Linked DNA regions of Rattus norvegicus. The main gene of each other region encodes a partner of the protein of the gene in region 7 in a complex. Links are inferred from orthologs where the notes say so. Each region holds a gene or a part of one and is shown on either strand. Other genes may lie near its edges. The genes, in order: Ruvbl1, Meaf6, Kat5, Vps72, Morf4l1, Morf4l2 and Epc1.

What was found.
Region 1: Epc1 (region 7) and Ruvbl1 share a complex: the UniProt entries of both Homo sapiens proteins name them as parts of the nuA4-related complex. The link is inferred for Rattus norvegicus from reciprocal best matches to the Homo sapiens genes EPC1 and RUVBL1.
Region 2: Epc1 (region 7) and Meaf6 share a complex: the UniProt entries of both Homo sapiens proteins name them as parts of the nuA4 histone acetyltransferase complex. The link is inferred for Rattus norvegicus from reciprocal best matches to the Homo sapiens genes EPC1 and MEAF6.
Region 3: Epc1 (region 7) and Kat5 share a complex: the UniProt entries of both Homo sapiens proteins name them as parts of the nuA4 histone acetyltransferase complex. The link is inferred for Rattus norvegicus from reciprocal best matches to the Homo sapiens genes EPC1 and KAT5.
Region 4: Epc1 (region 7) and Vps72 share a complex: the UniProt entries of both Homo sapiens proteins name them as parts of the nuA4-related complex. The link is inferred for Rattus norvegicus from reciprocal best matches to the Homo sapiens genes EPC1 and VPS72.
Region 5: Epc1 (region 7) and Morf4l1 share a complex: the UniProt entries of both Homo sapiens proteins name them as parts of the nuA4 histone acetyltransferase complex. The link is inferred for Rattus norvegicus from reciprocal best matches to the Homo sapiens genes EPC1 and MORF4L1.
Region 6: Epc1 (region 7) and Morf4l2 share a complex: the UniProt entries of both Homo sapiens proteins name them as parts of the nuA4 histone acetyltransferase complex. The link is inferred for Rattus norvegicus from reciprocal best matches to the Homo sapiens genes EPC1 and MORF4L2.

What each region holds. Positions count from the first base shown.
Region 1 is NC_086022.1:122,488,319-122,492,553, forward strand, and holds the start of Ruvbl1 (ruvB-like 1), read left to right. Parts: upstream 1-1,435; 5' UTR 1,436-1,465; coding exon 1,466-1,606; intron 1,607-2,690; exon of another isoform or gene 2,691-2,769; coding exon of another isoform or gene 2,770-3,147; exon of another isoform or gene 3,148-3,209; intron 3,210-4,060; coding exon 4,061-4,147; intron 4,148-4,235. Other genes in the region: Rps25l3 (small ribosomal subunit protein eS25-like), read right to left, coding at 2,770-3,147. UniProt on the Homo sapiens protein: Possesses single-stranded DNA-stimulated ATPase and ATP-dependent DNA helicase (3' to 5') activity; hexamerization is thought to be critical for ATP hydrolysis and adjacent subunits in the ring-like structure contribute to the ATPase activity.
Region 2 is NC_086023.1:142,642,935-142,646,434, forward strand, and holds part of Meaf6 (chromatin modification-related protein MEAF6), read left to right. Parts: intron 1-3,181; coding exon 3,182-3,374; intron 3,375-3,500.
Region 3 is NC_086019.1:212,324,589-212,326,991, reverse strand, and holds the end of Kat5 (histone acetyltransferase KAT5), read left to right. Parts: intron 1-927; coding exon 928-1,087; intron 1,088-1,198; coding exon 1,199-1,280; intron 1,281-1,367; coding exon 1,368-1,502; 3' UTR 1,503-1,903; downstream 1,904-2,403. Other genes in the region: Rnaseh2c (ribonuclease H2 subunit C), read right to left, coding at 2,303-2,403. UniProt on the Homo sapiens protein: Catalytic subunit of the NuA4 histone acetyltransferase complex, a multiprotein complex involved in transcriptional activation of select genes principally by acetylation of nucleosomal histones H2A and H4.
Region 4 is NC_086020.1:185,374,138-185,377,637, forward strand, and holds part of Vps72 (vacuolar protein sorting-associated protein 72 homolog), read left to right. Parts: intron 1-18; coding exon 19-133; intron 134-1,568; coding exon 1,569-1,745; intron 1,746-3,200; coding exon 3,201-3,345; intron 3,346-3,500. UniProt on the Homo sapiens protein: Deposition-and-exchange histone chaperone specific for H2AZ1, specifically chaperones H2AZ1 and deposits it into nucleosomes.
Region 5 is NC_086026.1:99,541,532-99,545,484, reverse strand, and holds the start of Morf4l1 (mortality factor 4-like protein 1), read left to right. Parts: upstream 1-1,153; 5' UTR 1,154-1,293; coding exon 1,294-1,333; intron 1,334-1,486; exon of another isoform or gene 1,487-1,569; intron 1,570-3,953. UniProt on the Homo sapiens protein: Component of the NuA4 histone acetyltransferase (HAT) complex which is involved in transcriptional activation of select genes principally by acetylation of nucleosomal histones H4 and H2A.
Region 6 is NC_086039.1:104,875,947-104,879,446, reverse strand, and holds part of Morf4l2 (mortality factor 4-like protein 2), read left to right. Parts: intron 1-1,858; 5' UTR 1,859-1,959; intron 1,960-3,031; 5' UTR 3,032-3,055; coding exon 3,056-3,500. UniProt on the Homo sapiens protein: Component of the NuA4 histone acetyltransferase complex which is involved in transcriptional activation of select genes principally by acetylation of nucleosomal histone H4 and H2A.
Region 7 is NC_086035.1:59,200,267-59,202,519, reverse strand, and holds part of Epc1 (enhancer of polycomb homolog 1), read left to right. Parts: coding exon 1-261; intron 262-2,253. UniProt on the Homo sapiens protein: Component of the NuA4 histone acetyltransferase (HAT) complex, a multiprotein complex involved in transcriptional activation of select genes principally by acetylation of nucleosomal histones H4 and H2A.

The DNA.
Region 1 (4,235 bases), on a different chromosome or scaffold from region 7:
AAGCTCCCTGGCTGAAGAAATGAGTCTGCAGTTAAGAGCACTGGCTGTCCTTATAAAGGACTCAAATTCAATTCCCAATACCCATATGATGGCTCACAACCATCTGTAACTTCAGTTCCTGGGGATCTGACACCCTGTTCTGACCTCCTTGAGCACTGCATGGTGCGTTCACACCTGTGGGCAAAACACCCATATGGATAGATTACAAAAATGAAAAGACTTGGCACTCCCTGGAACTTGTCTAGCAATCTCTGCCTTTGGTTTCTCGGCTGCCTGTCACTTGTCACTTCTGTTCCCAGTCACTCTAGAACTCACTAGCTGCCTTTTATCACTGTCTTCACTGCTATAGCCACTCGGCATGTCTTCATATTACCAGCTCAGTCCACCATACTATTAATCCAGGTGGATAGACCACTGGAGAAATCTTACAATGGGACTAATGTTACAACACAACTGTACATTGTACAGCACAGGAGGGTGTCTCCTGGCTGACTTAAAAGTGAGGGGCACCTGCTTAGAATGCCAGAATGTCAGAGGGTAAACAAGAATGTTTGCTGTCCTTAGTACAGCCCTCCATGCAAATGAAGCATTAAATTTACACTATGGTACAGTGGGTTGTGGAAATGGACTACCATGTTTGCACCAATAACCAAACAGTTGCTTATTCAAATAAAGGGCCATGTTTCTTCACAAGTCACAGGCAGTTTTTGTTTGGCTACCTGGAGAACTGTACCCACTCAAGACAGGTGAAAATGGCTGGTCAGAGTATGGTGGCAGCACCTTTAATCCCAGCAACTCAGGAGGCAGAGACACCTTCTCTTCTTTTTTAAAAGTTTCTTGGGCATGTGATGATCAAAATCATGACATAAAGTGTTTGAAAAGTTTGGGCTGGAATAGTGCCTTCAGGATCTAGTGTATTCTGGAAAAAATGGGCTGGAAAAGAGTGGTTGGCTGGGCAGCTTCCTCAGGGCATCCTTGGGGTGTCTAAATTAGGTGTGAGTGGGAGAACTTTGGGCAGCTGCTTCGTTGATAGTTCTCTCAGGACATCCAAGCACCTGGGAAAGGTCTAATAATTGTCAGTGAAGGAGTCAACTCACCCTGGCATAAACATCTTATACTAAAGAAAAAAAGCATTAAAAGAGGAGTTTATAATTAAAAACCTGCCATTCACATTAATAGCGCTTAAGAATCTGACGGTTCCCAGTCAAACCTGGCCAGGGCAGGAAATGCCTGCCCTGGGGGAACCTAACCTGTGACACAGACGGAAGTTGGTGGGTGAAACTCAGCCGCCGACAAGCGTAGCTTGTAGCCAATAGAAAACGAAGTCTTTTCGCTTCAACCAATGGCGTACTAATAAGGGCGGGTCCTGGAGAGCGGCCTAGTAACGGCCGCGTGGTAACCCAGGCGCCTGGCGTGCCGTAGTTCCTAGTCTCCACGCAGGTTGTGGCTGCACACACTCGTCAAAATGAAGATTGAGGAGGTGAAGAGCACCACGAAGACGCAACGCATTGCCTCCCACAGCCACGTGAAGGGGCTGGGGCTGGATGAGAGCGGCCTGGCCAAGCAGGCGGCTTCGGGGCTCGTGGGCCAGGAGAACGCGAGAGAGGTGGGCGTGGGGCGTGTGCACGCGGTGTGGGCGGCGGGACCAGGTCTCACTAAGATTTGTCTGAGAAGTGAGGATCACATTAGCCAGCAAGGGTCACGGCAGGCAAATTAGGCCTCACCGGAAACACAGTGGAAAGCTGTGGGATTAAATGTAGAATTGACTAAATTTTCGGAGTTGATATGGGTTCTTTAGGCCTGGGAGCTGATCTGTTAAGTGGAGCGGTGAGGAGGAACACTATGACCTATTCCCCATCCAAGCACTCTAGCTTTTCCAGTTCAGTCTTCTTAAAGTCATTGGAAGTTATGCCAGGTCTTTCGATCGGTTCTGTTTTGCACACGAAGAAATTAAAGGTGGGCCAGGTCGCTTAACCACCTGCCAGTTCAGCAGTAATGAGGCTGGTATTCTCCCGACCCCACCCCAAATGATTACTCTTCCCATTTCCTCAGACTGCTCCACTTTGATCCCTGCAGAGACTCAGTATCTACAAAAACTTGCTGTTTATATGTGGTGAAGACTGCTTTCCCAGCCTCAAGAGCATCATCTATCCAAAAGGGAAACGTTTGACCCTAGCTCACTTGCATCTTTTTTTGCAAGCAATAGTTTAATGCTTTCTATTTGTCAGGCGGCTTTATTGTCTGTTATTTCATTTCTGTCTAATAAACCTCACTTTGGTCTGATGTTTCTAAGCACACAGAAACATTGACATGTTTGCACATTAAATCCCAGTGTGCCAAAATTCTACAGTTAACATTTTACAGTGATGCTTTATGGTATATCTGTTCATGTATGTCTACCGTCACAAGTCAGAGTAAACTGTGGACATCAGCCCACTTTGCACATAAGCCCTTCCTTGTGGGTACAGTTGTTTTGAACACTCGGAGTCAGATGAGTAATAGGTGTTAGGTAAAATAAATCTGAGGACACTCACCTCAAGTGAAATGGCCAGGATAGATACTGGATTGTATGTGACTTCAGAGTCTGTTCTAGACCTGCCTCTGCACTGGGTTCTTGTTTGGCCAATCACGCTAGCAGCCTCCCTGGTACTCAGTATCTTCACCCTTATTATTATTGTCATTAGCTGGTATTTATTTATTTTTTTTATTTTTTATTTTTTTGATTCAATAAAGTTTTATTTTCCCAAATGTACAGCTGATTCAATCTGTTTATGCATCTTCACCAGCAGCTGGGGCATCTCCACCCTTTGTGTTTCTGGTGTAAATTACTTGGGCTCTGTGCTTTGAAACCAGCTTGATAAGTCCTTTACTAAGTAGCTCCTGAAGGGCTGCCCTGGCCAAGGAACCTCGAATCTTCAGTCTCTCGGAGACCACAGCTGGAGTAATAAGCTTATAGTTGGGAACTTCCTTACAAAGTTTGTCGTAAGTAGCTTTGTCAAACAGGATGAGATTGTTCAGCTTGTCCCGAACTTTGCCTTTGGACCACTTCTTCTTTTTGGCCTTGCCACCAGATTTATTTACTGGGTCCTTGTCTTTTTTGGCCGACTTTCCGGCATCCTTCTTCTTCTTGTCGTCTTTGGGCAGCATGGCGAAACTCAGAGAGTAGTGTGGACCACTGCAGCCACACTCTGGTATTTATTTTTGTATGTTTGTTTTCACGACAGGGTCTCACTTTTAGCTCTGGCTGTCCTGAGACTCTGTAGACCCTGCTGGCCTTGAGTTCACAGGGATCCATCCGCCTCTGCCTCCTGAGTGCTGAGATTAAAGGCGTGGGCCTTTACTATGCACCTGGCTTCCTTAGCTGGTATCTCTTTCTTTTCCTATTTGACACAATGTGTGCGTAGGCTGTGCAGTTATAGGCCTGCCATGGTGTTTGGGTAGAGGTCAGAGGTTCCTCCTTCCATTGTGGGATCCAGGGATTGAACTAAGGTTTACACTGCAGGTGCTTTTTACCCACTGAGCATCTCACCAGCTCTTTCCAACTCTTATTGGTTGGATTCATAGCACACCCTTTTTGTTTAGATAATGTTGCCGTAGCCAAACTGGCCTGGAATGCACAGCCCTGCTGCTTTTGTTAAGTACTAGGTCTGTGTTGGCTCCTGCCTGCCTCAACCTCCCCTTTCCCTTCTGTTCACTATACTTTGGTAGCTGCAGCATGTTGACCCTTAGACATATCAAACTTGTACTTTGGTTATTTTCAATTTGCAATTTTTGCCTGAAATGTAGATTTCTGCCCGGGGCTTCAAATGTTACATACAAGGTTATGAGAAAGCCCCCTCCGCCCCAGCTCTCCCTAGCTGCTCAGTGTCTCATTTTGCTTCTCTCTTTGTGGGAGCCATCATATGGCATGAGCTAGAGCACGTGGCTCACCCCCACCGCTCCACCCCACAGCAGTGGTGTCCTGTCAGAAGAGCATCGGAACTGTGTGGACCAAGCCCTGAACTGTTTCTACCATGAAGCATTTTAAGATTGACTGATTGTTTCTTTCTGTTTTGTGCAGGCATGTGGTGTCATAGTCGAATTAATCAAAAGCAAGAAAATGGCTGGAAGAGCTGTCTTGTTGGCAGGGCCTCCTGGAACTGGCAAGGTATTCATTCATTTTCTCTCTCTCTTTTTTTTTTTTTTCCTTTTCTTTCCCTTTTTTTCTGGAGCTGGGGACCGAACCCAGGGCCTTG
Region 2 (3,500 bases), on a different chromosome or scaffold from region 7:
TCTCCCGACCAAGAAATTTACTTCCGACCATGTGGTCTCAGGTCTGCACAGGGACGCTTCCACCTGCTCGCCCTTCTTGCTGGTCTCGTCTGCTTTTACGTTTTGTGTGTTTGCTATTTGTTTGACTGTGGTTTTGAGATGTAGTTCAGGCTGGTCTTGAATTCCTGATCTTCCCTCCTTGGCTTTCCCAGCCCTGGAATTACAGGTGGATGCTACTGTGCTAACACTTCTCTGTTTTTCTTTTTTTTTTTTTTTTTTCTTTTTTTCGGAGCTGGGGACCGAACCCAGGGCCTTGTGCTTGCTAGGCAAGTGCTCTACCACTGAGCTAAATCCCCAATCCCTCTGTTTTTCTTTTTTAAAAAATTATTTACTTATTTATATAAGTACCCTGTAGCTGTCTTCAGACACACCAGAAGAGGGCATCAGATCCCATTACAGATGGTTGTGAGCCACCATGTGGTTGCTGGGATTTGAACTCAGGACCTCTGGAAGAGCAGTCAGTGCTCTTAACCACTGAGTCGTCTCTCTAGCTCTCTGTTTTATCTTTTAGTTTGTCTGTCTGTCTGTCTGTCTGTCTGTCTCTCTCTCTCTCTCTCTTTCTCTGTGTTTGTGTGTGTGCGTGTGCACGTGTACTTTGTGGTGCTTGTGTGAATCCTGAAGGACAACCTCAGATGTTAGTCTTTTCTCTCCTTCATGAGATGAGACAGTCTCTTCTTATTCTCCACTGCATTGTATAAGCCAGCATGCTGGCCCGGGGCTCCCAGGGATTTTCCCGTCTTAGGACCCTATACCCTACAGGAGATGAGTTATAGGCGTGTGCGTCTGTGTCCAGCTTTATGTAGATTCTGGAAATCCAAATTTAGGTCCTTGCACTACATACAAATGTTTCACCCACTGAGCCATCCGCTCAGCCCTCTTCCTGCTTTTTATTTTCAGACAGGGTGTCCCTTTGTAGTTTTGACAGACCCAGAACTTGATATGTAGACCAGGCTGGCCTTAACCTTGACGGTGATTCTCCTGTTTCAACCTCCTTCTGCTTTTTGTTTGTTTTGTTTTTGCCTCTGCTGCTTCTGGTGGCTACATATTTAAAAAATGCTAATGTAAAGGCAGAAGGGAAAACACTGACCCCTGACCTTCCTGCAGACACAGACCCTTCTGACCATCTTTAGGGACAAATACTAATGTATTTGGGTCCATTAGTAGTTGAGTAGAATTCGGGTCTCTCCCTGTCCTTATCTAGTGATGGTTTCCAGAAGCTGGACATGGTGATACACAGCTGTGACCCGAGCACTGGGGGGAGCAAAGGCAGAGGGCGGGGGCCCACGCCATGGAACTCTTTTTTTCTGTAGCTCAGGCTAGTCATGGACTTGGGGCTTCCTGCGTCTGATGCCCTGCCTTCTCCTGCTTCTTCTTTCCTCCTTCCTACCTGTTGGGTGCAAGGATTGACCCTGGGCTTAGTTCATGCTGTGTGAGTGCTTTACTCTGTAGCCACCCTACCCTAAGACAGTATTTATGAGATGTTCTTGAACATGCATGCTTCTGTGTAAATATATCCAAGTGATTTTGATGATGATGATGAAGAAGAGGAAGAGGAAGAGGAAGAAGAAGAAGAAGAAGAAGAAGAAGAAGAAGAAGAAGAAGAAGAAGAAGAAGAAGAAGTAGTAGTAGTAGTAGTAGTTTTTTATGTAGCCCAGGCTGTCCTTGAGCTTGAGATGTCCTCTCACCTTCCCAAGTGCCAGGATTATAGGCATGTGCCACCCAGCCTGACTGTTGAAATGCTGTTTTGAAACTGGTGATTTATGTCAGTTGAACATTAATTACTACTTCATTCAGGCATTCCTGGGCTGATGGTCTAGCTTACTGTACCCAAGATTGCCAAAGGCAGGGGAAAACTCATGGTGGGACATCCCTGTAATCTCAGCACTCGGGAGCCGGGGTCGGGAAGACCAGAAGCTCATGCTTGAGTAGGTAAGCATGTGGCTAACCCTGAGTCTGCTCCCTGAGAGGTGAACGGGGAGAGCCGGTTCTCCTAAGCTGTTCCCTGACCTCCTTTTACTTGCTGTGGATGTTAATTACTGTGTATGGCAGTGAGGAAATACCATGACCAGAAGTGACTTACAGAGGAAAGTTTATCTTGGCTTCCTTTATGGTCCAAGAATGGGTTCCCTGTGTAGGAAGCTGGCTGGTTATATTTTGTCGCACTTGAAGGAGAGAGAGAGCAAGAAGTGGGGTGAGACCCCCACCCCTGCCCAGCCTTAGTGGCTTCCTTCTGCAGGTTATTCGCTCTCCAAGCAGCTCCACTACCTAGACAGCAGGTATTCAAAGCCCTGGGCCTGCGGGGACAGGTCCATTGAAACCACCCTGCTGCAGCACCCCCACCCCGACATATACACAAATAAGCAAAATGTAGTTTTAGAAAGATAAAGGAGGGGGAGCCGGAGAGATGCGGTTGTTAAGGACGCTTGCTGCTTCTACAGAGGACCCTGGCCGGTTCCCATCGCCTGTGTCTGACAGCTCTGGGAGATCGATTTCCTCTCACTTCTACAGGCCCTGTGAACTCACCTCACGGCCTGGATTCACATGAGACCGTATCTGTCTCCCCTCCAAAAAAAAATGTCCACGACCTCAGTAATTGAGGGATGGGCTAGACTCTGCTTCCCAGTGGGTACCTTTTCTTTTCTTTTTTGAATTTACTCTTTAGATCATATGTATGTGTCGGGGTGGGGTGTGTGTGTGCATGTGAGTGCAGGTACCCAAGGAGGCCAGAGGTGTTGGATCTCCTGGAGCTGCATTCCAGCAGGTGAGCCTTATGACATGGCTTCTGGGAATTAGACTCTGGTCCTCTGCACGAGCAGTACCTGCTCTTAATCTCAGGGTCATTTCTCTAGCTCATCCCCCACCAACTCTTTATAGAAAGACGGGATTCTCTGATGGTTTGTCAGTTTTGCCAAGGTGTCCCTGCCTCTCTTCAGCGTGCCCCATATTGAAGTGTCCCTTATGTAGAGGGCGATGCTCTGAGCTGCGGTCACCTCTGTCCTCAGAGCTGATGCAGACCACGTGGACTTCAGGGACTCCCTAGCTTTGGTGCGTTGAGCGCGTGTTCCTCAAGGGAAAACCTTTGTGGATGACAGGGACTCAGGAACACTGATCAGGCTTTTGGGGCCTGTTCTCTTTCCTCTAGGGGAACCAGGAAGTGGGACGGAAAGCGATACTTCCCCAGACTTCCACAATCAGGAAAACGAGCCTGCGCAGGAGGACCCTGAAGACCTGGACGGCTCCGTTCAGGGAGTGAAGCCTCAGAAAGCTGCCTCTTCCACCTCCTCAGGGAGCCACCACAGCAGCCACAAAAAGCGGAAGAATAAAAACCGGCACAGGTTAGTGGCAGGGTCCCACCCAGAGTCCTCACCTGCTGGGCGGGACTTGGTTGGCGTGGAGATGCCTGGGACAGTGGCAGAACCCTCAGGTTGTGGGTGGCAGAAATTCTTATATGCAAGTCAGGT
Region 3 (2,403 bases), on a different chromosome or scaffold from region 7:
GGTCTCTTTGGAGTACCTCACTGATTAGAGCAGGCGAGAGGAAACTCAAAGGGCAAACGAGATATACCTACTTTTGCCTAGTAGGACACAGAAATGCCAACAGATTGATAAAAGGGTGGGAGCAATCATTGAACAGGGCTCCTGACTATAGAGGTATATGGCATCCTGGGGATTCATGGGAGTGCTTACTGTGGGGATCCAGTAGCTCTCTCCCCTTCTGGGCTGCTGCTTTCCAGACACCAGCCTTTCCCGCCCTTTTTGTCCACGGGTGCTTGAGCAAAGAGGACGGGACCACCAAGAGAGATGTAGCTAGGAGCAGAAAGTGTGGGGAGCATCATGAGGCCTGTATACCCAAGAGTAAGGAAGGGTATCTCCAAACTAATAGGGACATCCCCAGAGCCCTGACAAAGCATTGTCAGCTCTGCAGGGCCTAACAGTCTCAGGAACTGTCTGGCAGTGCCAGACACAAGCAACACCAGCAAGGGAAAGGGCCACTAAGGGTCAGGTGCCTGGCTCTGAGGAGGCCCTTTCCTATTATGTCTTTAAGCACCCAGCCCATTCTGCTGAGAGCAGCTGACATGCCCAGGATCACAGCTAGTTAAACTGGTGACACTGAAAAGGTCCCCATGGCCTCAAACCACAAAGGGCTCCCTCACTACCACCATACACCCAGACACAGGCTGGCAGGGCAGTGGAGAACATAGCACTCCATCCATCAGCTTCCACTGGCTGACAAGTACCCAGTCATAGCTGCTGTTCTAGCTGCCTTTGGCTGGCTCCCCTACACAGCCAGCAGGGAAGCTGCTGATCCATCAACAAGAGTAAGTGTGAGACAGGCACCCAGGCAGCCCAGCTCCACAGTCCCTCTTACATGCTGCTGTGTACACACCACTTACTCCTCCTCTTGTGCTCCATTCGTTGCTTTAGGCTATGAACTCTCGAAAGTAGAAGGGAAGACAGGAACTCCTGAGAAACCCCTGTCAGATCTTGGCCTTCTATCCTACCGAAGTTACTGGTCCCAAACCATCTTGGAGATCCTGATGGGGCTGAAGTCGGAGAGTGGGGAGAGACCACAGATCACCATCAAGTGAGCCCAAATGTCCACCTGGGGGTTTGTGGTATGGCCTGTCTGTCCCTGGGGTTTCTGGGGACAGATGAATACCCTCGGGGACTTAACTTTCACCCTCCCCCTCCCCAGTGAGATCAGTGAAATCACTAGTATCAAGAAAGAAGATGTCATTTCCACACTGCAGTATCTCAATCTCATCAATTACTACAAGGTCAGGAGGCGTGCTTAGGGGATAGGTGAGGGGTACCAGGATGCAGGCTCTGCGACTGACCATGAGCTGGGTCTGTCTTTTGCTCAGGGCCAGTATATCCTCACTCTGTCAGAAGACATCGTGGATGGGCATGAGCGGGCTATGCTCAAGCGGCTCCTTCGAATTGACTCCAAGTGTCTGCACTTCACTCCCAAAGACTGGAGCAAGAGAGGAAAGTGGTGACACACACACTCTCACTGCAACACCGCGAAAGCCAGCTGAACACGGCTGTCATCCTGTCGTATCCCATTCGAGCTTCGAAGAGTCATGCAAAGGGAGACAGGCCAAAGGACAGACCCAAAAGAAGAAGAGGCCTAGGAGGGGCCAACTAGTGGCCAGTACCAAAGCGAGCTCAGGTCTAGGCCGACTCCAAGGATAGCTGGCTTGTTGGCTCAGGTCCGCTCTGAACACAGGGACCAGGGGGACCCAGGCAGCTGTGTACACTAAGGCGGGTGGGGAGCATCTGTACAGGACTGGTGACTGTAAAAATTTCTTTTGTAAAGGAGGAGCTGGAGGGTGGGGTGGGCGCTGGTTGCAAAGTTCTGGCCCTCCCTGCCCCCAGAAATAAATTGTTTTTATAGGCAGAGCGATCAGGAGTTCTTGCCAGACTGGGTGCCATGCAATGCCAGCTTCAGGGTGGTAAGGTGCCCACAGACTCAGGTGTTGTGAAGATCTCATTTATTGGGATAGAAACAGTGGCTCCAAAGTGGTGTGAAGGGCTCTGTGACTTTCATTTTCATGCTCTGGCTCTCAGTCCTCTGGCACCTGTGCGTGAATCTGCAACAGGAGTCACTTCTGCTTTGTGATTTATAATACACAGCAGTTGGGTGGGAACCCAGCTGCTCAGGGTGACAGCCCCTTCTAAGAGAAAAGTGGGGAATGCCTCCCACCAGTCCCTAGTCTGGACCTCTGGAGCCATGATCCCTGTGGTGCTTATTTGCCCCTAGAACCCCAAATACTAGAGACACGATTCAAAGCTAGTGCTAAGTGCGACCAAGCCTGAGGGGAAAAGAGCCCTTGAGTATACGTACCGCTGCAGCAAGGCTGGGCCAACCTAGGGCCCTATGCACTTTGGCATCTGGAC
Region 4 (3,500 bases), on a different chromosome or scaffold from region 7:
TTTCTAACTTGTCCCCAGGAGCCTCTAAAGAGCTTGAGGCCTCGCAAGGTCAGTACCCCAGCAAGCAGCTCCCAGAAGGCCAGAGAGGAGAAGACGCTGCTGCCACTGGAGCTACAGGACGATGGCTCTGACAGTGAGTTTACATCTGCTGACCACATTTAATTGTGATGATTAAATGTTCTGTCTGCATTAGGTTGAAGTTGATAACCATTGTTTTGTAAAGAGAATCCTAGTGTGTGTGTGTGTGTGTGTGTGTCTGCCTGTCTGCTTGGGTGTATGTGCACTTGTATGTGCAGATGTGTACAGAGGCCAAAAGAGTTAGTTACAGACTTGTTCCGTGTGTGCCGTGTGAGCCACTGTCTCAGCTCCAGTGGTCATAAGCGCTCAGAAAACACTTTCAACACCACTGAGCCAGCTCTTCAGCCCCAAAAAAATCCTTATTCTTAGAAATAGTTCTGGGCCAGATGGTTCAGGCTTGTAAACAACAATTACTCAAAAGGCTGCCAGCAGGAGAGTAACAAGTTCAAGGCCATCCTGTGCTACACAGCAAGTTAAAGCTGGCCCCAACCACTTAGTGAGACTGTCTAGAAATAAAAACATGAAGACCAACATCTCAGAATGTAAAGATGTTGGTTGCCAAGCCTGAGCTCTGTCCCCAAGATCCATGTGGTTTAAGGAGAGAACCAACTCCTGAAAATTCTCTGATTTTCACATGTGCTGCCCTCCCAAATATTATTTAAAAAATTAAGGTATTGGGGTTGGGGATTTAGCTCAGTGGTAGAGCGCTTGCCTAGGAAGCGCAAGGCCCTGGGTTCGGTCCCCAGCTCCGAAAAAAAAAAAAATTAAGGTATTAATAAAATATAACATGAGAAGGTCTAGGGATGTAGCTTACTGGTAGAGAATTTAATCCCCAATAACACAAAAAATAAAAATACTAAATTCTTTAAGAGAAAGCTGTGTACAACTTAACTTTTTTTTTTTTTTTAATATAACCTGAGTCATTAAAAGTACTAGGAATCTACGGAATGGAATGAATGGGGTGTGCTGTTCATAGTAGGTGATGTGATTAAGATTAAAGGCTGTAGGCATTATTTGTATTATTCTTGCTAAATTTGTTTTTTAGTAAGCTTAAATTGTTTAAAAAAATTTTTTTAAAATAGCTAAGAAAGTAGCCTTGCAGTACTGGCACACTCCTTTAATCCCAGCCCTAAAGAGGCAGAGTTCAAGGGCGGCCTGGTCTACAGTACAAGTTCTGGATGACCAGAGTTACACAGAGAAGGGTCTTAAAGCCCCTTCCATCACCCCACCCCACCCCACCCCAACAAAAAAGAAAAGAAAACAAAAAGAAGCTAGAAATGTGCTGGCTGTGGTGGGCAGGCCTCTGATCCCAGCGCTCCAGAGGCAGAGGCCCGAGCAGCTCTGAGTTCGAGGTCAGATGCTCACAGAGTGAAGTCCAGGACAGCCAGAGCTACACAGTCAGAACGTACTTTTTTTTTTTTTTTTAAAGAAAAAGAAGAGAACAAAGTAGAAATGAGTTGAAAACTCTCTTCCAATCTCACTTTTTGTAGGCCGCAAGTCCATGCGTCAGTCTACAGCTGAACACACACGACAGACGTTCCTTCGGGTTCAAGAGAGGCAAGGACAGTCCCGGAGGCGGAAGGGTCCGCACTGTGAACGACCACTAACCCAGGAAGAGCTGCTCAGGGAGGCCAAGATCACTGAAGAGCTCAACTTACGTTCACTCGGTCAGTCTGGTTTGGGAAAGTAGGTACAGACACTGAGGTGCGTGAGACCAGAGACCTGGAAAAATGGAGATTTAAAGCAGAATAATTAGAAAGTTCGTACTTAATATTCCCAGCATTGGGGAGTTCAAAGCCAGCCTGGTCTACTTAATCAGTTTCTGCCTAGCCAAGACTATGTATATGGAGCCCGTCTTGAAACATGCAAAGGGAAATAAACACACAAAAAGAAGAAATGAGTGTGTAATAGGAGAGGGTACTAGGCATCTGGAGTCTTGGTGGGGTTTGGGGGTGGGGAGAGTGTCAGTTTGATTGAGGTCCAGTTGGTATAAAATAACGGTTGGCTGGTTTTTCCTTTTCTGAGAGAAAGCAGTAGCTCCAGTCAGACACAGGCCAGACACAGTGGTAGAGATCCATGAGCTCAGTGTATGGAAGGTAGAAACAGGAGAGTCAGGCACTCAAGGCCAGCCTGGATTATGGGAGTCCCAACTCTATGAGTCAGGGAGAGATTTCTAGGGGGGCTCTGGCCAGATTTGAGAGGACTGTGTCCACAGCGCCCACATGGAGAAACAGTGTGGTTCATTCAGGGGTAAAGGACCAGAGGAGTCGTGATCTGTTTATTCACTAACAGATGTGCATGCAGTGTTGCATGGTCCTGATAATGTGTAGCTAATGTGAGTTACTATGCCCTTCATGGTGCAAACAGCTATACCAACATTGAACTGACAGTGTGCCACCAGATCTAAGCACTAACACAGTGTAGCCAGCCATGGGAACTGAGGGGGTTACAGAGAAATTCCTGAAAAGAGTCACTTAGGTTAGCTTTTTTTTGCCCTTTTAGAATGCAGACTTGGAGGCTGGAGAGATGACTCAGTGGTTAAGAGAACTGACTGCTCTTCCAGAGGTCCTGAGTTCAATTCCCAACAACCACATGGTGGCTCACAACCATCTATAATGGGATCTGGAGCCTTCTTCTGCCCTGCAGGCATACATGCAGGCGGAACGCTGTGTACATAATAAATAATTTTTAAAAAGATATGCAGACGCAGCTGGGCAGTGGTTGTACACACACCTTTTATCTCCGCACTTGGGAGGCAGAGGCGGGCAGATCTCTGAGTTCCAGGACAGCCAAAGCCACACAGAGAAACCCTATCTCAAAAAACAAAAAAGAAAACATGAAAACGAAAGCAAAAACAAAATCACAGGACAGAGCCCAGAGAGATGCCATAGCTCAGCAGGTGAAGGCACTTGGTGACAGCCCTGTTGTCCCGAGTTCAGTTCCTGGAATCCACGTGATATGAGCAGAGAACTGACTCCAGCATGTTGTCATCTGACCTCTCCATATGTGTGTTCACGTACATACACTCTCATAAGTACACAAGAGAATTTAAATAGACCTCGGGACAGAGTGTAGGAAAAGGGAAACTGACCATTCTATCATGTCTCCCTTTGATCCTGAAGAGACCTATGAAAGGCTTGAGGCTGACAAAAAGAAGCAGGTTCACAAGAAGCGGAAGTGCCCTGGGCCAATAATCACCTACCATTCAGTGACGGTGCCACTTGTTGGGGAGCCAGGTCCCAAGGAAGAGAATGTGGATGTGGAAGGGTGAGTGAAGCCCGTGTTCCTGGCCTCTCTTAGAGCTCACTTTCCTCACAGCACATATTCAGACCTCAGCTCATTCCTGGCTTGTGCTGGAGTCTGCTAGCACGAGTTGAATAGTCTCTGAGTGGGGCATGAGGATGATTAAAGAAAAGGCAGAA
Region 5 (3,953 bases), on a different chromosome or scaffold from region 7:
TCTTGGAAAAAATAATGAAAAATTAGTCTCAGGAGATAGAGTCTGTGAGTTCATGGTCAGCCCAGTCTACATGGCCAGGTCCAGGCAAGCCAGGGAGATATATAGATAGATATATAGATATGGATATAGAGATAGATATAGATAGATGTAGATGTAGATACAGATATATAGATATAGTAAGACTCTGTCTAAAAGAGAAAAGGCTTGGGCAGAAAGGTTTGCCTAGGATAGTTAGGTAGCTGTAAACTGTGGAGGGACTTCAAGTATCAGGACAACTATTTTCAGACTTATCTCCTAGTTAACAGCTCTAAGCCTCTGCGTGCACTTTATGTAATTCTGTGGGTATAGGGGTACGCTATTTTTACAGCAGAGTACACTAAGGAGTTTTTGAACATAGGAACGGTGTGAAAAAAAGGTTTTTTGTTTTTATTTGTTTTGCTTTTTCAGATTGAGTATGCATCTAATACTACCTCAAAGAAATAAGATTGCAGAGAGGTTAAATACGGAACCTTGACTTTGGCAGCAATCCGGGTTTGCCTCCTTCAGTGAGACCGAGTACTTCAGAAATCAGAAGCTGCAATCTACAAATGGTCCTGAGAACCGACCCCCCTACCCATCCCAACTCCCCCAATCAGGGCTTGGCTTTCCAAACGCTGAAGCTTCTTCTTGAGCAGACCACCTTCCCACTCGCCTCTAGCTTCCTTTCTGGATTTCAAAGCTCTCCTAGGCCAAGTCCTGGTGATGCCTTGGAACTCAGGCTGCAGAGACAGTCCTGTCCTCAGGCCACTTCAACACCCCACCACATCTCTGGGGCCTCATTTCATAACTAAGCATCTGCCCCATGAGCCTTTTCTATCCGTTCACCGCTAGCTAGTGATTTACTTATTTCTTTCTCCTTGTCACCAACAGAAAATCAAATCTGGGTTGTAACAAGCCTCTGAGGTCTGGATACTCAGGGGACTGGGGTTGGGGGATTGCGGGCGCGGGGCGGGGGGGGGGTATCTCCCGCTCCCCTCCCCCATTGCTCGCGTCAGTGGAGGCTGAACTACCAATCCCGGCGTGCCTCGGGGGCGGCACGGGCGCAGGCTTGTGTGCGCGGCGGGTAGCCGTTGGCTGAGGAGGCGGCTGCGCCGGTCGCTGTGCTGTGAGGTCAGACGGCGCTGGCAAATCGCGCCCAGGATGTAGAGCTGGCTGTTCCCGACGGCGCGTCTGACGCTAAATTGGGTGGGGTAGAGAGTAGGGGGCGGTAGTCGGGGGTGGTGGGAGAAGGAGGAGGCGGCGAATCACTTATAAATGGCGCCCAAGCAGGACCCGAAGCCTAAATTCCAGGAGGGTGAGTGTGCAGCTTTGGGAAAAGGGACCTAACGGTGCAGGGGAGGGAGGCTGACTTGGAGCTGTTGAGGTTTGGGGGTCGGGGTCGGCGTGGCTCGAGGCCTGGGGAAACTGCGGGCCTGGCTTTGTAGGGGGGGGGGAGGCGCATTGCGGTGGGTAACTTCAGTGCGTCATTTGGCGACAGTGCTTCGTGGCGCGAAAGCGAGCCTCCGGCACAGGCAAAGCCGAAGGATCCCCGTGCGTATGGCAAAGCCTCGTCGCTTGTTTGTTTTTCTGCGAGCAGAGAAAGTCTATTGTAGGGAGGTGCCCGGAGGGCGAGCGATGGCGACGGTTAGGAAGTGATGTGGCGTGGGGGAGGGGAGCAGCGACAGCCCATCCCCGCGCTTAACTCTCGGCCATCGGCCGCGCGGGTGACTGTGGGCTGAAGGTTCGAGGCTGTTGGACACTGGGGCTATCTCAGCGTTCTGTGGAGTTCTACTGTAGGAGGACACGGGGGGTGGGCTGTGCGCCCCGCGGCGGGAGAACTGCGTTATAAAATGGCCGCGGCAACATGGCCGCGCCATCATGGCTGCCGGCGTCTCGCAGCTACGCGCAGCTTCGGGCCAGATGGAGCGCCCCCTGGCATGGAGATCACGCTCATTGCCTCCTCTTGCCTCTTGAGTGATGGGTGGGGACAGAAAAAAAAATAATAAACTTGAGCCGCCCGAGCGAGTTCCTAGGCTCGCTGTTGCCTGAGGGCATCGTTTTGCTGGTTTTGGAGTGCTCTCCGAAGCCGTTGTTCGTGAAAACAATTTTCAGTTCCTCCTTAGGGCGTTTCCGTTTAGAGGTCCTTGGCCACGTTGTCATTTTTAAATACAGTAGTTGCTTGACTGGTTGTAATAGTACTCGATTAATGGCGATTTGAAAGCTAACGCTTATTGACTTTGATTAGAACAGTGTTGCTGAACTACGGTACTAACAGTGGAAAGCAGTTACTCAGTTCTCACAACTCATTCTGTCCAGGTGGTTTATTTGGCATACTAAAGGGAATAAAACTATAAGCATAAAGAGGAACACTTTAAACTTTTTACTGCTAGCAATGTCTGTATGTGCTTGTTATACATGCTGGGTCCAGCTTGCATAACAAGTTTCAAGTGCCACCAAATAGAAACGTTTTAACTAATCGATGTACATAAGAGAGTATTGCAGGGGTATTTTAGTGCGGCCTCTTAATATTTTTCTCCCACTTTGAGACCATTCATTGTTTTTCTAGGTGTTTTGGAGAAAGCTTTTTGTTTTTTGTTTTTTTGAGACAAGTCTTGGTATGTAGCCCCAGCTACTGTATTGATCTTCCTTGTCTTAGTCTTTAGAGTATAGCAGCTAAGTCTTGTTTGCCGTATCCTGTACGTTCGCTCAATATTATATAATTATAATGACACTTAAAATAGTTTTGAGGGGCTGGAGAGACCAAGTACTTCCTAAGGCAAGCATGAGGACCCGAGCTTGGAACCCTAGCAAGCAGTTTTAAAAGCTTGTTTACTTCCGGTTGTGTTGGTGTGCACGTTAATTCAAAGCATTCAGGAGGCAAGGGAGGGTGGAACTCTGGGTCTGAGGCCATCCTTGATACTTAGAGCTACGTAGGACATCCAGAACTATACAGAAACTCCTTTGCGTATGGAGGTGTGTGTGTGTGTATGTGTGTGTGTGGTGTTGCTCTATACCCAGCAGGGGTTGGAGGGGTGGAGAACTGCAGCAGCAGGTAGATGGAGACCTCTGTAGCTCATTGGCCGGCAGCCTACTAATGTGTGAGTTAAAGTGAGAAACTGTCTAAAAAAGTGAAGAGTTAGTACTGTGGCAGACATTAAACTGGTTGGCCCTCACTTGTAGAAAGATGGTGTACCCTGTAGTTTTGCTAACTCTACTAAGTTGTTTTCCTTAGTAATGCCATGTTTTAGGTATCAAAGCATGCCAAGAGGCTCATAGGCTTCTCCAGGTTGTCAGAACAAACACAAAAGCGTAATCCTTGCTTAATGTTAGAAACTAGAAATCAAGAATGGTTGTTTTGAAAGAAATGCTTTCTTTCTGAAGGAGACAGTGCCAAAGTGAGGTGGATAAAGGCAAACCAGAAGGATGGTGTTGGTGTAGTTGGAGAAGAGTAGGAACAAAGGCTAGGTTGTGAAAGCCTGGTAAATCTCTGCTTTACCATTATTTCCCAGCTGTGGATTCCAGGTGTAGCTGGGTGTGATACCTAAAATTCTGTCCAGCATTACAGAAGCAGAGGCAGGAGGCTGACCAGCCCAGGGGTACATAAGATGACCCTGTCTCAGAAAACAAAACCAAACCGAAGAAATCCAAGCTAAGATAATATGGGTATCTTTTTAAAATTGTATAAAAGACATGTTCGGTCCTCACCTTGGCTAATTCATAGGGCCTATGTGGTAGAGGTAAAGAACTGTCTCCCACAAGTTGTCATCTGACCTCCACATATTTACAGTGGCATGTATACATACATTTACTCCCCACCCCATAGTAGATAAAAACCCAGAGAACATCCAGAAAGGAAACAGTGTTGATTGGATTATTTTGAAATCTTGGTAGAATTTTGATAGTGAAAGGTGGTAAATATACATTTTGTGTATGTG
Region 6 (3,500 bases), on a different chromosome or scaffold from region 7:
TTTTTGTGGTGAAAGGGGTGTTTGAAGATTGAGGTATAGTTGAATTAGTAAAATGCTTGCTTATCTTTAGTGTGGTTGAAGATGGAAGAATGAACTTAACATGGTTTTGGCTAGGAATACATATTAAAACAGTTCTGAGATAAATTGGGCTACATCACAAAAGCTTCTATGTAGGCAACTACCTTTAATTCCTCTTGGAATATATCCTTCAGAGATAACTTACCTAGTGGTCTTAATATAGTTATGCATTGATGTCTAGTATTGGTTCTTTTTGTAATAATGACATTTGGAACACTGTCTACAACAGTGGAGCTGGGAGCATTAAAAACCTTTAACATCAGACACTAAAGAGCCCTCCAAGGGAAAGCATTGGTCAAAAATAATTTGAAGAGATCCTAGAAAATGATAAATTTACCAAGAGCCAACTCAAAAGGACAAAGGCATATACAAATGGGGGGGTAGATTTCTGTTAACACAGGTGCAAATTGGACAACAATAAGTGTCTTTTAAAGCTATTGAAGGTTGGCAATGTAACTCAGTGGTAGAGCAGAAAAGAATGAAGGTTAGCTTGCTGATGCTTACCAAAGGGTGTGCTGTGGTGTGATTGCTCATTTTAAGTTAGAGTTTTTGAAGGGTAAGCAATTTAGCACCAGGGTAAAAGCCTTAAATGTGTTTATACCTTGCTCCGCTAAATAAATCAGCCAGGAGTGAAACAAATGTCATGGCCTAAAAGGTGTATTTCATAACCTTAACATAACTATGGGAACATAGTTTTCTTTCAATGATTTTTTTTTAAAGTGAGAGCTAAGATTTAATAATACGTGCTTACCTCACAAACCTAAAAAATGATACTTTTCTGGATTATTCTTGAGCTAACTTTAGAGATTGATTAGAAAAATTTTCTACTAGTCTCTGTGCTTCTGCAGAAGATCCAAGGTTATAACACAAGCCCTGTGGTAGGACTTTTATTGTATTTAAGTGAGGGAGAGGAAGTCTGGAGTAGAGTAGGTATGCTAACTGAACTGAACAATGTTTAGTAGTGGGGGATTGGAAGGAAGGACCCACAAAGTGGATTCAAAATTTTAGGACCACACTATGTGCTAATAAGTTCCTTGGTAAGGAAGTACTGATGACCAAGGCAAATGCTCTACTACTGGCTTACATCCCCAGACCTCAGCAGCCTCCAAAACACCTGCTTATTTTAGTAGGTGTTGATCTCTTAAGAAAAATGGGTTATGGTCCTCCAGAGCACTGTAAACAGAAACCCACTCCCCATTCACACATGGATTTTGTTTTTTGAGGTGGTCCTTGGTAAATTAAAGCTGGAATGCCATCCTTTACTCGGGGAAGGGGGTACCCTGAATATGTAACAGACTCATGTTTTACACATTTGCACACTCATTTAAGACAAATGGAATCACACTGTTAATAAGAGCTGTGCTACTAACCCATTTACCTAAGGACATTAAACAGTTTTCAGTGTCAGTATGTAGATAGGCCTCTGCTTAAGTCACTTGGGTATTCTGTAGTGTGCATGTGTAATTTGTATCACCCTTTCCCTGCTGAAGCTGTAAATGTCTGCAGTTCCTCATTGCTCGTGCTACTTTAGTGAACCGCCCTCATTCACATGTAGAAATGGTCATGTGCGGTACTATGCTAGCTGTTCAGTAACATGACATTCTTATAGTAGCCTATAGCAACTAGGAATAGTTTCTTGTGCTTGAATATACATGTCTTCAGTTCCATTTTGCAGATCACACACTATTTTCCTTCCTATATGTAAGGCACATTTGTAACTTTTTCTTACATGATTTTGTAAAAGTTCATCTTCATTGCATATCCCTACTTTCCTTTCTAGGTTGTATTCCCACTTCATCTTTCCAGACCATCCTAGGAGATCTGTAAGATTCCATCTGGGAGATTACTAGGAATCCTTGGAAGGGAGAGAAGGAACATTGTGTAAGTCAAGGGGTTGTCGAATGAGTCAGCCATCGAAGCAGGAGGCTTGTTTTTTAATTCATTTTCACTGAATATTGTTTCTCTTGAAACTCAACCTCTTTATCTTCCAAAGTCACATATCTTCTTACTCTCCGATGGAGGGCTCACCATTTAATCTGTGGTCTCTTGCTAACTCCTCAAATACTTTTTTGTTCTTTACATTTTCTGGAATTCTATGTCTGAAATTCTGCCTGTTTTTTCTTCAGTGAAGAGGTTCACTGGTTCATAGTGTGTGCTATAAGCTACACGATAAGAAATCTCCATTTCTTTACTCTGAGTTTGAACATTCTCTCTTTGAGTGCACACTGAAGATAATAAAAAGTCCAAAACTAATCACCTTTCTCCTCTAAGCAGTTTATATAAATACCATCTCATTTGATGGTGATGGTCATCCATCCTTAAAGCCTGAAAGTTGTCAGTAACTCCTTTCTCAGTTTCTCATCTCTTCTAAAGTTACTAAAAGAGATCTTTTATGCATGTAACTATCAGTGGACTAATCTTGTTTTCTGACAGTGTCAGACAAATCCTTAAAAAAAAATCTGTGCTTTACTAAAACTACCCAGGCTCAGTCGTGCAGAGCCCATTTTGACTCTAACCTTTGATCATTGCATTCCTCTGTGTGAATTCTGTGCCATCGAACTACTCAAGGCCTACCTAGACCTGTATACACAAACCTTTTCTGTTAATTCACCTCCAACTTCCTTATTCCTTTCAAATTCTTATTCTTGTTCCAAAGTCTTGCATTTCAACTCTGCTTCCTTCTATCTCTAAAATTTCTCTAAAATTAAATCCCTATCTTTTAAATAGCATCAAGAGATATATTTGTGGGCGTGTTTATTGAATTATTAGGTGAGGCAAGAGTTGTGGGCATTAGGATAGAATTTTGAGATAGAAAACAGAAAAGCATTTATAAATGGTCCTCTGAAATAGGACCTGAAATCTATATTCCAACAGACTTTAGCATATGTTGTGGTCTGATGGGTCATAAAATCACCATAGTAAACAACCAAATACAATACTTTATGTATTACAGTGGTTGGAATAAAAACAGGGTTGAATGAGTTCCAGAAAGCAGGCTTCTCAAACTCGTGGACAACAATCTGCTGAAGAAGACAACTTTAAGAAACCCACTCGCAGCAATATGCAGAGAAGTAAGATGAGAGGAGCTGCCTCAGGAAAGAAGTCAGCTGGTTCGCAGCCGAAGAATCTTGATCCAGCCCTCCCAGGAAGATGGGGAGGTCGCTCTGCTGAGAACCCCCCTTCTGGTTCTGTGCGGAAGACAAGGAAGAACAAGCAGAAGACTCCTGGCAACGGAGACGGTGGCAGTACCAGTGAAGTCCCCCAGCCTCCTCGGAAGAAAAGGGCACGGGCTGACCCCACTGTGGAGAGCGAGGAAGCATTCAAGAGTAGGATGGAGGTGAAGGTGAAGATCCCTGAAGAATTAAAACCATGGCTGGTGGAAGATTGGGACTTGGTTACTAGGCAGAAGCAGCTGTTCCAGC
Region 7 (2,253 bases):
ACAGACTTCGGGTTCCCACAGCGCACTGAGTCACCAAGTAACTGCTGCCAACTCTGCAACAACTCAGGTTCTGTTTGGGAACAACATCCGATTAACTGTCCCCTCATCTGTCCCCACTGTCAACTCTATCGCCCCAATAAACGCACGGCATATACCTAGGACTTTAAGTGCTGTTCCGCCATCTGCCTTAAAGCTGGCTGCTGCAGCAAACTGTCAAGTTTCCAAGGTCCCCTCCTCATCCTCTGTAGATTCAGTTCCAAGGTGAGTAGTTCTTTGAAGATTAAATGTCTGAAATGTAAACACCTAACTTGCCTCCTGAAGTGGCTATCCACCTAAGTCTTCTCTTCTTTTCCTTTTGTGTATTGAATATATATGGATATATATATATGAATACATGAATGAACCTTCGCTTACTCAAGAACTAAGCAAGCGGATGTAATAATTCAGTGTTGGTTGAATTCAGTCTTAAGACCAGGCCAGTCCACTCACTGGGACAGTCAGTGTTGCTTCTGGGGCCCGGACCTCCCCTAATTGAGCAGTAGCCTCGAGTGTCGTCACTCTTGTGTGGCTTTGGTGGAGGGAGGCCTCTTTAGGTGCTGTCATGCTGTTGATGGATCTCATCGGTGGCTTACTGTGGGGTAGACTTGGTAAAGCCTCCTTCGCCAGTCTGCTCGCTACTCATTGTGGAAATGCTGGCAGGCCTGCTGACATCTAATAAGCCGTGGCTTTCTCTGCTCACTGACCTTCTTGATTTCAGGAGTTTAAGGTTTTTGTCAAGGTTCCATTTTAACTATAACTATTAATTTAACTCTGTATTAACTAATTAAAATCCTATTGCTACAAAGTACTAGGAGAAAAGAAACAAAGACCTGCATTATTCAGATTAGCAAGAAATAAGCTTAAAACATGAATGTGGGTGTTAAAACAGTGCAGGTAATAGACAGAAGCCCTTCTAGGTTTGTCTCAGATCAGCGTGTGTTGCCCAGTTCATTGTATTGACAGTTGCTCTTGTTTTAAAACCGAATTGTGTGTTCTATGAAATATCAGACCCCACTTGATTGGGTGAAGAGAATGTGTATCATAAGTTTGAGTGGGCAAAGCAGAAATAAAAATTGGAGAAGATGGTGCTTAGCGGTTAACATTGCTGCCTAGAAGGCCAGTGCTATGCTTAGACCAACACTGAGACTTCAGCAGAGAGCGTTCGGGAGAGCAGCTGTGCAGGAGCTCACTTTGCACACCCACAGGCCCTGTCTACATTTATCTGTTCAGTACCAGGAACGCATTGTTGGTCTGATCATGGCTGATCAGTGGACTAGTTCTCCTCTTCCACATCACCAATCATGACTTTCATTGCTGTAGAACATGACAAATATGGGGACATTTACAGTAGATGGGACTTCTCATATCCCTGTCTTTACCCAGTGTTCCAGTCCTGTGTCTGTCTCACTTAGTGATGTTGATTGAGACCTAGATTTAAAGTCCCATCGTGAATTTTGGACATATTTGTGTCTGTGCTGGGTTGTTAAGAATTTTGGACATATTTGTGTCTGTGCTGGATGATTGTTAAGAATTTTGGACATATTTGTGTCTGTGCTGGATGATTGTTAAGAATTTTGGACATATTTGTGTCTGTGCTGGATGATTGTTAAGAATTTTGGACATATTTGTGTCTGTGCTGGATTGTTAAGAATTGTGGAGATATTTGTGTCTGTGCTGGATGATTGTTAAGAAAAGCTTTGGGTTGGGAGGAGGAGCTCCTCCGTGGGCAGAGGCGCTTGCCGTCAAGCCTGACAGCCCGCGTTGGTCCGTTGTATCGTGTGGTGGAAGAAGAGAAGCAGTCCTGCAGCTTGCCTCTGACTACACAACGTAATTGTGTAAAGGCCGAAAAAGAGTTCAGGGCCAAAGAGAACTACTCAGTGCTTGCCAGTACACGCAGGAGCAGCTGAGTTCATAATCCACATTTTTAAAGAAGCTTCACGTGTTGAGTGCATGACCCTACATTGTGGGGGTTACAGGAAAGGAAGGGATCAACTCCATGAACTTCAGCTTCTCTCAGAAATTAAGGTGAAGACGGATAGAAGTGACACTCGCCATCCACTTGTGGCCTCCATGTGCACGCACATGTGTGTACACACTCACACACATCCCAAAACGATGATAAAGGTTTGGGGCTAACATGATGGCTCCATGGGTAAAGGCCCTTGCCACCAAACCCATCAAGCTACGCTTGATCCCAGAACCTATGTGGTGGAA